3 linked regions of the Oreochromis niloticus genome follow. The protein of the gene in region 1 purifies or fractionates together with the protein of each later gene. This does not show direct contact. Links are inferred from orthologs where the notes say so. Each region holds a gene or a part of one and is shown on either strand. Other genes may lie near its edges.

Evidence for each region.
Region 2: the proteins of daxx (region 1) and map3k5 purify together in Homo sapiens (affinity purification with western blotting; 7 studies listed by BioGRID and IntAct, with this or other methods). This does not show direct contact. The link is inferred for Oreochromis niloticus from reciprocal best matches to the Homo sapiens genes DAXX and MAP3K5.
Region 3: the proteins of daxx (region 1) and DNA (cytosine-5)-methyltransferase 1 purify together in Homo sapiens (affinity purification with western blotting; 4 studies listed by BioGRID, with this or other methods). This does not show direct contact. The link is inferred for Oreochromis niloticus from reciprocal best matches to the Homo sapiens genes DAXX and DNMT1.

The regions. Positions count from the first base shown.
Region 1 is NC_031985.2:8,772,933-8,776,684, reverse strand, and holds the start of daxx (death domain-associated protein 6), read right to left. Parts: upstream 2,888-3,752; 5' UTR 2,551-2,887; intron 2,145-2,550; exon of another isoform or gene 2,123-2,144; intron 1,023-2,122; 5' UTR 1,007-1,022; coding exon 764-1,006; intron 1-763. UniProt on the Homo sapiens protein: Transcription corepressor known to repress transcriptional potential of several sumoylated transcription factors. Down-regulates basal and activated transcription.
Region 2 is NC_031980.2:17,209,706-17,213,457, reverse strand, and holds the start of map3k5 (mitogen-activated protein kinase kinase kinase 5), read right to left. Parts: upstream 2,304-3,752; 5' UTR 1,741-2,303; coding exon 1,305-1,740; intron 1-1,304. UniProt on the Homo sapiens protein: Serine/threonine kinase which acts as an essential component of the MAP kinase signal transduction pathway. Plays an important role in the cascades of cellular responses evoked by changes in the environment.
Region 3 is NC_031969.2:24,060,077-24,063,828, reverse strand, and holds the start of DNA (cytosine-5)-methyltransferase 1, read left to right. Parts: upstream 1-1,098; 5' UTR 1,099-1,236; coding exon 1,237-1,283; intron 1,284-1,699; coding exon 1,700-1,736; intron 1,737-2,209; coding exon 2,210-2,317; intron 2,318-2,419; coding exon 2,420-2,663; intron 2,664-2,769; coding exon 2,770-2,842; intron 2,843-2,938; coding exon 2,939-3,020; intron 3,021-3,127; coding exon 3,128-3,168; intron 3,169-3,246; coding exon 3,247-3,301; intron 3,302-3,387; coding exon 3,388-3,471; intron 3,472-3,560; coding exon 3,561-3,670; intron 3,671-3,752. UniProt on the Homo sapiens protein: Methylates CpG residues. Preferentially methylates hemimethylated DNA. Associates with DNA replication sites in S phase maintaining the methylation pattern in the newly synthesized strand, that is essential for epigenetic inheritance.

The sequences.
Region 1 (3,752 bases):
AGACTGTCATACAAGCCAAATTAAAAAAATAATAATAATTGAACATTATTTTTATTATAGTTTTTTCTTCTTCATTATTTTATTGTTATTTTATTATAGTTGTTGTTTTTTTATATATCAAAATGAAATATACAAAAATGGTCTTATCAACTTTCAAATACTAAACATGTTTTTTTAAATGACTGTTTTAATAAAGTTGTTTTGCACCCAGTGGAGGAGAGCTGTAGGATGCACTTCACCTCATGCTGGGATAAACTCCATGGAACGATGTTCTGCAAAACTAGACTGTACTCAGGAATTTGCATTTACTGAATCACTATGAGACAACATATAACACATTCACCACAATACAATCCCCTCTTATTTTTAAAGCTGTGTTACTGGTGACAAGCGAGCTGTGGACCTTCCTGTGTTTCCCCTACAGGTGTGGTAAAGACCACCAGCTGCAGTCTAGAAGAGTGCAGTTGATCTGCTCAATGAGGAACTAACTGATGACACCACTGAGTTTCCCACAGTATTATTTGGGAAACATGGATCATCTCACTTGTTAATTTGATTTAAAAGTCAACATTTAAATATATCATGTTTCAACAATTAGCCTAGAAACACACAGATAAGATTTTAAGTCAATGTCACCCAGACAGAAAACTGAGCATTTAGAGAAGTCTGAAGTCCGATACACATGAAATACTTCTGCATAAATGTCATTATTTTAAGTTCTGGTCATGTTTAACATGAACTTTGGAACATCATATAAACTCACCTCAGTGAACAACTTCTGATTCTCTGCCTGCAGACACTGCGTGGTCTTCTTCGCTGTAGCGAAGGGTGACTGGGTAATGTGTGTGGGCACTGGCTGCTGAGCTTTGAGCGGCGAGACATTTTTGGCTTGAAGGTCAGGGCTTGATTTGGAGGCAGAGGAGGAGGGCTGAGGACTCTCTTCTTCTTTGTCTTCCTCATCAAGCACAATGATTTTGTCTGCCATCCAGGCAGGAGCCACCGCCATCCAAAACGCCGGCTTTCTAAAATACAAACAGGCAGAATGAGACCAGAACAGAATGACACACAAGCATCAGAACTTCAGTGTTTTCAAGATCTGTACGATATTTACATTGGCACAAAGAAAAAAGTGACAGATTCTGGCCATGTGGGCACTTCTGATCATTTAAATACCAAAGCAGGGACCTGCACTGTGAACCGGGTTCAACAAACCCAGGATATTTTTATCTGGTTTCAAAGAGAACCAGTTTCAGGTCATATTCACATGAAAGATCTGAAACAAAGACAAGTCTAATGACTGCAGAGTGACTCCCTTTACAAATTATGATGTCAGAACACAAAATGAAGAGTAACACACAGTAAGGCTGAACGCACCACAGCTGCCACAGATAGAATTACTGTGTTTCTGTACGAGGAAATGTTTCAAAAGTGCTACATTAATGTGTGGAAAAGTCCAATATCAAAAAAGTCAATTTAAAGTCAGGAACGAAAGCTGAACACATGCATTTGTGCGCATTAACAAAGTTGTCACTTTCACAGCTCCACCATAAAGACACGGGAGGATCTGAAGTATAATTACAATTTTTTAGTTTGTAAAATCAACACTATAGTGTGCAGATGTGTGTGAGACAGTTTCAGCTGCACCCACGTATAAAGGAATGAAATAATTTAAACATTGCTTGCAGTGAAAAGGGAAAAAGCAGGAATAAAGCTGCGTATAAAAATCCATATTTTTTACTGATGCTCACCAGAACATCAGAATGATGGTCAGTAGGTACTGGTTTTCTATATGTATGCTACTCTTCTTTAACAAAACCTACTGTGGATCAGCATAGTTACCTGATAATAGATGAAGCACCTTTGAAAGGTTTAAAAACTGGGGTTAACCTGAAGTCCCCTCACTATGCCCCAAATCCTGCTTCATAGAAGAGGCCCCTGGTTAGGTTCATGGCATGTTATCAAAGTCTTACGTTGTTTAAATCAGCTCTGACTGAGGATCCCTCATATTGGGATTTTTTTTTTAAAAACAGTTTAATCTGAGCAAATAGCTTCCTGAAACAGGGGCATGATCACTCAAATTCCCAAGCTGGGTAATGGATTTCTGGAATGACTGCCAAAATACCTTTGTGGCCCTCAGAAGTCTCCAAAGTCATGTCAGTTGACTGCTTTCAACAATGTCCCGTTGCCTAGACAATTCATCTGAGGATGTGTGAACCTGTGATTTACATGCCACCATTTTCTATCACCAGTTAAACTTCAATAACTGGAAGGCAGACTCCTGCGTCCATATTAGAGCCTTAACACAGAAGCATCGAGCTTGTGAATTTGATGCTTCATTTAGGGCTACAGAAGCCGGCTGATCAGCGTTATCGTTTCGCTGTGTTTACTCGGAAAATAGGAAAACAAACAGGGGATAGCAGTTTCCAAACACATGAAAGTGAAACTAATCACGATGACACAGACAGCACATTACAGGTGGAAAACTTAAGACAGAAGGTTAAATAAAGCACGCCCACGCACACCGTAATAATGAGACAGTAGGATACACACCGACCTGTTCTCTACGAGCTGCTGGAGTTAACAACGAAACTAGAAAACGTTGCACCGCCGCAGGACATCACAACACTCCAGTTAGTTAGCTGACGTTAGCTCTGGAGGCTAGTTAGCATTCGGACTTTTCTAAGTAAAAAAATAACCTGCCAGAAAAAAAGTCGAGTTACGCTCTCATCGCCTCGCGAACCGGGTAAACAAACCCGAGATAACCTCTAATCTCGTTCGTTTTTATCAGACTGGATCTTCTTCATCAAAACAATGCCCCTTCACTTAGCTGTGCTATCGAATCGAGATCGAAAATGTACCCGCTAAACTCCGCTCAACATCAACGCCTCTGATTGGACGACAGATTCGTGACGATGAGTAATGCCATTTCCCATTGGACAGCTGCTGACATGTACCGTTCTACTATTATTTTTATTATTTCTTTGAATGTACTTAATTGACTTTATAAAGCTTCTTTGTTTTACATTTAGTACTTTTATATTTTGAACTTTTATCAGATTTACTGTTATTTTGTGTTTAAGTTCAATGTGAGATTCAGAATGGGGAAGAAAGATGGTTTAAGCTACTTTCAACGTGGTAGGGGGTAGACTGGTAGGGGGCCAGTCTGACTCTGAATATTTTAGAAAATGCTGATCTGCTTGGATTTTACCACACTACTTTACCAAACTACACAGCAGAATATTGGAAAAACGTTTTCTGCTCTGACAAGTCATGATTTGTGCTGTAACATTCAGATGGGAGGATCAGAATTTAGGGTCAACAGCATCAAAGTATGGATCATCCTGTCTGTCTACAGTTCGGGCTGGTGATGGGGTATAATTTTCCTGATGAACCTCGGGCCCCTTGTTACAAAGTATTGTTTAGACACCATCGGCTCCCTGAGTATTGTTGCTAACCATTTCCATCCCTTTGTTACCAGTGTAGCCATTTTTAAATGGCTGGTTCCAGCAGACTTATGCACTATGTCATAAAGCTCAAAACATTGCAAACTGGTTTCTTGTACATGAGGATAAGTTCACTGTACACGAATGGCCTCCACAGTCACCAAGTTACAATCAAATAGAGCAATTCTGGGATGTAGCAGAACGACAGAAACATGCCATGGACACTGTGTGATGCTAACATGTAAATATGGACCAGAATCTCAAAAGAATATTTGCAGCACCTTATTGAATCTATTCCATGTAGAATTA
Region 2 (3,752 bases), on another chromosome or scaffold:
ACATGGACCTTTTATTAGTGACTGCTAACCATTGTGACCTTAGAATTCATGCTTTTGTTTTAAAAAATATATTTTTTCCCCCTATTGACTTAATCTTAGTTTTGTTACTGTTAACACTGATACATTTACCATTAATAAAACAGATTTTTTTTAAAGGAATTTTCTAGGTCTTTTATAATAAGGAAAAAAAATGCATCCTGCATATTGACTTTTATACATGTTGATTCTTTTATAGCTCCTGTCAGGTAAACTCTTTTTACAATATTAATAATGAGGGAAGCAATGATTGTGTCTTTAGGCTACCAGAGTTTGCAAGTAACCCCCCTCAAAAACAAACAAAAAACCCCCAAAATAAAGTTAGCATCATTTGCAGAGACGCCACTCTTTGAAAGGCTTTGACGTGTCACACTGTTTTATATTTACAATATCTGCTGAACACGTACTGATACAATCTTAATGAAATGCAAACACTGGCTGCTGTTTCTGGCTCTCAAACACTCTGACCAGTCATGTGCATTATAGTTGAAGAGTTTTTCATGGCTTAACCAAACCTTTCCAGTAGTATTTGGAGCCAACTGCTACATATACAACATGAATTAGAGGTGGAAAGTGCTTTCAATCAAGGGATTCAAGTTTGCTTCTCTGTTAGCAGATTCCAGTGGAAAGACCAGGCTCATGGCTCAAACCGTGACACTGAAGCACAATGCCGAACCCCACAATGGAAGAGGGGAAACTAGCCATAGGAGGGGGAACTCTAGCAATAATCCCCACATTAGTGGAGCAAATGATACAACTTCTCAGCAACTGTTGTTCAATGAGTTCCAGCTTTGTTCAGTGAAGTGTACATACCACTGTGATCTAAAGGAAGCAACATCAAGCCATGACATGCAGAGCAGTGAGATGTATTTAGGGAGCCCAGAGCAACCTGTCCTGCAGGCATAGTTTCCAACAACAGTGGTGATGCAGTAAACGCTACTTTCGAGCCCCTGAAAATAATTTAGGGGAGAGGTTCTTGTGCTACTCTTTCATGAAGTAAATGGCATTCATGGGTCACTGACCTTTAGTGAGGTCCACTGCGGCTTAATCATTATAATGGAGAGCAAAGATTAAGCCTAAAAATCAATTTAGAGGATTGATCTAAAATCCCAACAGGCTGCCGTTAAGGCTAAAAATGACCTCATCTAGGAGGTCATAATCGTAGTAATCACTTTTATAAATGTTTGTCTTCTCACTTGCTGAGGGCGGTTTGGGAAGCTTGTTGTGGGTGGATGTGGGATTTATAAGCCTTTCTTCACTTGACTCACCTGCGTTGTAGAACCTGTCCAGCACGGCGGTCTCCCCGAAATCCAGTTTACCAAAGTTCACTGTCTCTAGCTTGCTGCCCACAGAATCGCAAGCGTCCTTCAGACACTGCAGGGCCATGCTCTCATGATTATTCTGTTGGCTGGCCTCTCCGTTCACCACATAGGCCACTGTTACCGGCCTGCTTTTGCAAGACTTTCCGGTGGACAGCAACCCTCCGGTGTCCAAGGGGCAGCTCCCGGAGATCGGGCTAAGTCCCCCACCTCCAGTCCCCGAATCATGCCAAAAAGTCCCAGCTGCGGGGATTCCACAGGCACCACCAACACCACCACCACCACTGCTGTTGACGCTTGTATTTTCCCCGCTGAGGTTCTCTCTGCCGGGGCAAGCACCAAAGGAAGGTACCGCTAAAGAGATCCCGTCCTGGTCTTGATTCATCTTTCTTCAAGTGTCTTTTTAAAGTGGGGATTTCGATGAGTGGCTTCTCCACCAGTCCTCCATGGAGAGCCAGCGTTACGCACGGCGGTTACCCATGGAGCCTCTGCAAAGGCACGACGTGCAACTCTGCTCCTTCCACACAGGTAAACAGTCTGTTAGGAGCAGAGGTGCAGCTCCACATCATGCTGCATGACTGCCGTTGATTGCACGCTTACAAAACACGCGAATGGGGGCTGCAGGCGGACCGAAGTCACGACGATATCCGAAGAGAAAACACAGGAGGAAAAGCCACCAAATCCGCGCATTCCGTCTCAGCCGTCGCAAGAAATTCACATACTTCTCAAAGTTGAGCAACACAGCCACTGTTAGTGCAGCAACGCCCACGAGATCCACAAATGTCACACCGAGTCCAACTTAAGCTCACTTTAAATCCTCCGATCAGCACAACGGCTTCTCAGCGCTGAAAAGAGAAAGCACACCACGCACGCAGTCAGGGTGCCTTCATGTGTAGACAAACCCTGCCCAGTTTCCACTGTTATCTTCCAGGCCAGACTCACGCACTGGGCGGAGAGACGATACTCGGAGCCTGGGGTAGTGGGGCGGGGACACGATGACCATATGTGGAGTTGTGTACTTCAGAAAGGGAGGAGTCCCTTTGAAAACAACCCCCAAACAAAACCGCCCAAACGTCTCTGTGAGTCAATAACCTGTCATCTGGAGCGAAGGTAAAAATGAATAGGTGATTTATTTATCAGCTTTTTCCCGAAAATGATGAAAATGCGGGAAATTAGAGATCGCAATCCAGAACAAAAACACCCCTTTAGGACATCAATCTCCATAATGACTACATTGTTTTGTCGGAGCTGTGAGTTGGAAGTATTTCATAATCCTGCAAACTAATTGCATCGGTTTTGCCCATTAATCTTCTGACCCGCATGGATTAGGCCCCACGGTGACAAAGTGGTTGTGAAACAGGTAAAAGTCTGAGCACATGACCATGTGACTTTGTAAATCCTCTGGACAAACGCTAGAAGTGACTATTATTAGTAGTGATTGAATTAGTTTACAATAAAGCTATCCGGGTAGGTGGTCTGCTGTTCAGACGTGGAAGTGTCATCCATTTATGTTTCAAGGAGGCCCTCTTGTGGTAGGCACTTGATATTACAGTACATGCGGGTAAAGTATGAATAGCCTGCATTTTATACTTGTGCCATAAAATACTTTTGTCCTTTATTAACAAATACATAGCAGATATTTATGACCTCTAGAAAGAGAAAGTGCTTTATTTTCTCTGTAGTAAATTAGTCAACAAAGACTTATGTTATATTGACAGATGAAGTCAGCAGGAGTCTCTGTGGACTATGATGTCTGCAGAGAACATAACAACCTGTAGTGAGAGTAAGGAGTAGGTGGAAGAGAGCCTAGAGAGTTGGAGGTATGTTTTGAGGAGAAGAGGAATGAAAATCAGGAGAAGCAAGACAGATTACATGTGTGTGAATGAGAGGGAGACGTGTAGCAGTCAAGATGTGAGGTAAGGTGAAGGAGGATGATTTTGAATACCTGGGACAGGGTTGGTGTGACAAAATAGGGTGAAATGGAGGGAGATGATAACTGTGGTAACTCCAGAATGAAGTAGCTGAAAGAAGTTGAATAAGATGCTGAAATCAACGATGACCCCAAACAAAACTTGTTTGTCAGAACATGAGGTACAAATATGAACATACAGTATTTATATGTATGTGACAAAGGGTTAACAAATACACAAAACATAGCCATTGCTTTTAAATAAGGAAAGAGCATTCTTATCTCGGGGGAAATTCGTCTACACTTTATTTGAAGACATGAATTTCCTGCAGGGCTATTTCAAGGTGAGACGAGTCTTAAATCACTGAGCTTTAATGATTTTAACATTTTATCACTGGAGAAGGGGCTAATGTAGCACAATGACAATGATGTTATTAGAGGAGTGAAGGCAGACATGAAAAAGGCTCCCATTGGAAATATTCAGTGCT
Region 3 (3,752 bases), on another chromosome or scaffold:
TAGAGGCCTTGGGAGTTTGGGCCTGTTTCCTGTCAGACATCCAGGATTCCTGGGTGGGAACGCTGGCTGAATCAGCCCCAGGAGGCTGTGCTGCTGGGATGTCTGCCAAGTCTTTCCAGAGCACTGCAGGATATTACATCAGATTCAGAAACCTGTATGTGAAGTTGTGTACACATAAAGCACAGCCCATGTAAGCTCATTGCTGTAGAACAGCACGAAGTTTGAAGTACTTCACAATTTCGACTAAAGGAAAAGTGAACAAAAACCCTGCCTATTTCTAAACATTATTCAACTGTGCAGTGATTGTACACACAGCTAAACACTGACCAATTAATATAATAACAGAATAAACACGTGTCAATAAAAACTAGTGGTAAAAGCGAGCAGGGTGGGTTTCCATGTGTAACCGTACAAGAACAAACTGACCGCCTGAGATTAATCTTCTGCCAATGACACAGTGCCACCTTGTGGTGGAATAGGCGCGTAGCTGGTTACAGTTGAAGGACCTTGTCTCCTTATTTATTTGCTCATAATGACATTGCAGTCGCCCAAATCAAAATAGCTACATAAAGGACAAACATCTTAAGGCAATCATGACCTCAGGCATAGATAGTACAGTCACACTGGAAGCGATCCACAGTGGATTATCAACAACTGTTATCCTACAATAATACAACAGCTACATTGTGCTTCACATTTACAACGCCATTCAGTCAATGTTTTTTCAATTGTATTGTTTGTTTGTTTTTGTTTTACCAAAAAGTAGTAATACATCAGATGCAGATGTCTTGCTACGATAGCTCATTAGTAAACAACAACTTCCGCCTGGTCAGTCCACTTCGACATCTATCAAACAGTAAGGGTGGATCGAGTTAATTGTGCATTTCTAGATAAAGTATTTCTTTATAAAATAGACTAAAAATTCCGTTTTTCTTTTACTAATAATATTTATGAGATAAACGTGTAATTCCGGTCACAAACGATACGTACATCAAGGATGTATTAAGTCCATCATCGAAACTGTTTTACCTGTACATAGCTAGAGTGGTACAGTCCACAACACCCGGGTTTCCGCGCGAAAAGACGGCCCGCGCGCCCGAATTGCTTATAGCATCCATCTGCACACGACAGACTGTCACCGTGGAGCCGCGCGGTGGTTAATGATAGTGGAGTTTTAAACGGTGTTTTAACGGTTTTAAAACATTTTTAGTCGCTCGTGTCTTACGCTCGTTTACGATGCCAACCAGGACGTCCCTGCCTCTCCCGGACGATGTCAGGAAAAGGTACTGTAATGAATGCTAATAGTGTTCTACTGATGTAGCTAGCTTGCAGCTTTTATTTCAAAAGCCATAACAGTGGCGGTTAAAGCTGAAATGGCAGTCCTGGTGGGTTAGACTTTCTCTGGTTGTCCTGAGCGTTACTGGCGGTTTCCCTTTTACCTGTGCAAACAGATGTTGCTAACATTAGCTTTTTGCCATTGACAGGGCTGATGCGGTATGCACTATTAGCCAGTTAGCATCATTAGCCTGCCAATGGATGGGACAGCGTGTGAGATTTGGCGCCACTCAGGAAGTTTTGTTATCTGTGTTTCTGCTTTCCCGCTGTCAGTGTTTTATTGCTGCAGTATAGTAAAGGAAGCGCTCCCACACGATTCGCTCTGACTTACCCCAGCACTGTTTTGATTCTTCTTTGTTTACAGCTTGCAGAGGTTGGATGAGGAAGGATCTGCAGAAGAGGTGAGTTGTGGACTCAAAACATGCTTATCTAGTAGTTCTGAAACGGAAGTTTAGTGTGGAAGAACTAACTGTTTAGTATTTTAGTTGGTTTCTATACTGTCACCTCAAAGGGAAGTTCCTTGCTCAATCCACATTGCACTCCCCTTATATCATAAATAATTATGAATAAAATGAACGAGGATCAGCTTTAGTCTTCTTTTTTGTGCCATTTTCTATTTGAGCAGTTTCTGGTGGACAGCATAAGGAAACTGACACCAGTGGTGCGAAGTCAACAGGAATCAAAGTTAAATATGTAATAGTTTCCAGGTTGCATATTGTGTCATTAAGTAATGGAATCCAGTTTAAGACAGTTGTGTTCTTTTAGTTTTGTGTATTTATCCTTGTGCGTGTGAGTGCATAAGTTGTGCCTTATTTTTTTTTTTTCTTTTGACATTATTCATTAACTCTTATTCTCTTTTAAAATGTCACTCCAGGAACATGTGAAAGAGAAGCTCAAGTTGGTGCAGGACTTTCTGCATGCTGATGCTCAGGATCAGCTGACCAGTCTGGAGGAAAAAATGAAAAGTTCAGAGATCTCAAAGGTCAGTCAGTTGTAAGTTGTCCAAATTGATATTAATCCTAAAACCGTACTTCACTTTCTGTCATCTAACTTGTGACATATGTCATGTGCCTTTTTTTTAAAGGAGGTCTATATCTCTAAAGTGAAGGCCCTACTTGGAAAAGAACTTCATCTTGAAAATGGCTCCCACGTTGATGACGCAGAGAAGAATGGAAAGACGAATGGCTTTTCAAATGGTTCGCACAAAGACGAGCATGATGAAGATGTAACCATGAGCGTACAGGAGGAGGAGGAGGAATCTTTCAAGTCACCAACTGCTTCGAAGGGGAAGGGTGGACGGAGGAGCAAGGCAAATTCTGACACAAAAAGTATGTTTAAAATCTCTTAAGATGGAGATCACCTGCACATTCAGTGTCTTTCTCCAGTTATTTAAGCAAAGGTAATTTTTAAAAGAATTTTTTTTTCCTTTTGTAGAGTCTCCAGCAAGTACCAGGGTTACCAGAAACAGTGGGAAACAGCCAACCATCTTGTCAATGTTCACTAAAGTGTGCGTATAATAATATATACTTAATTCATTTATGTATTTGGGCCTAAAACAAAACTCTTCCATCACTTTAACCTGCTTGAAATAAATGTCTTTCAGTCAGAAGCGCAAGTCAGAGGACTTGAATGGAGAAGCTGTCAACGGACAGAATGAACCGAAGAAAGATGATGACGTTGAGGAGGTATCGTAATTTTATGTACAAGTAATGTAAAAAACATAAATAGAAGCTGCAGTTTCTCAGTGTCTGATAAATAACTCTCCACATAATTTCAAATTTGTTTTTTGTAGTCTCGGGAGGAGAAGCGTCTCAAAGTGGAGTCGGATGAAAAGTAAGTATCTTTGTCTTCAGAGCACCAATTGTGATATAGCTTATAAAAGCAAATGGGCTGACACTTTTCTTTATGCAGTGCTGCTCCAGAAGAATCCAAGAGTGACATTGCAAAGCCGGTTTCTGCTGTAAAGGTAGTGATTTGGATTGGTGAACTGTAAACATTTTTGGAGGCATTACTGCTTCGTGCTGACTGGATTGTGTTTTTGTTACTGTTCAGACGCCACCACCCAAATGTCAAGACTGTAGACAATACCTAGATGATTCTGACCTGAAGTTTTTTCAAGGGGATCCTGATAATGCGGTGAGAAAACTTGCCACACATAAACTGTAGTTTTGTTTGTTTTAAATTATAAAAAAAAAAAAACCAAACCCATAATTTCTGTGTTTCAGCTGGATGAGCCTGAAATGTTAACAGATGAGCGCCTCTCACTGTTTGACTCCAATGAGGATGGATTTGAGAGCTATGAGGATCTGCCACAGCACAAGATCACAAACTTCAGGTGAGTGATTCTCCATCTTTATAAAGGTTTTGTTCCTGTGAGGTAACATACACAGCTTGTTAGGTTAGAGGAACAAAATAAA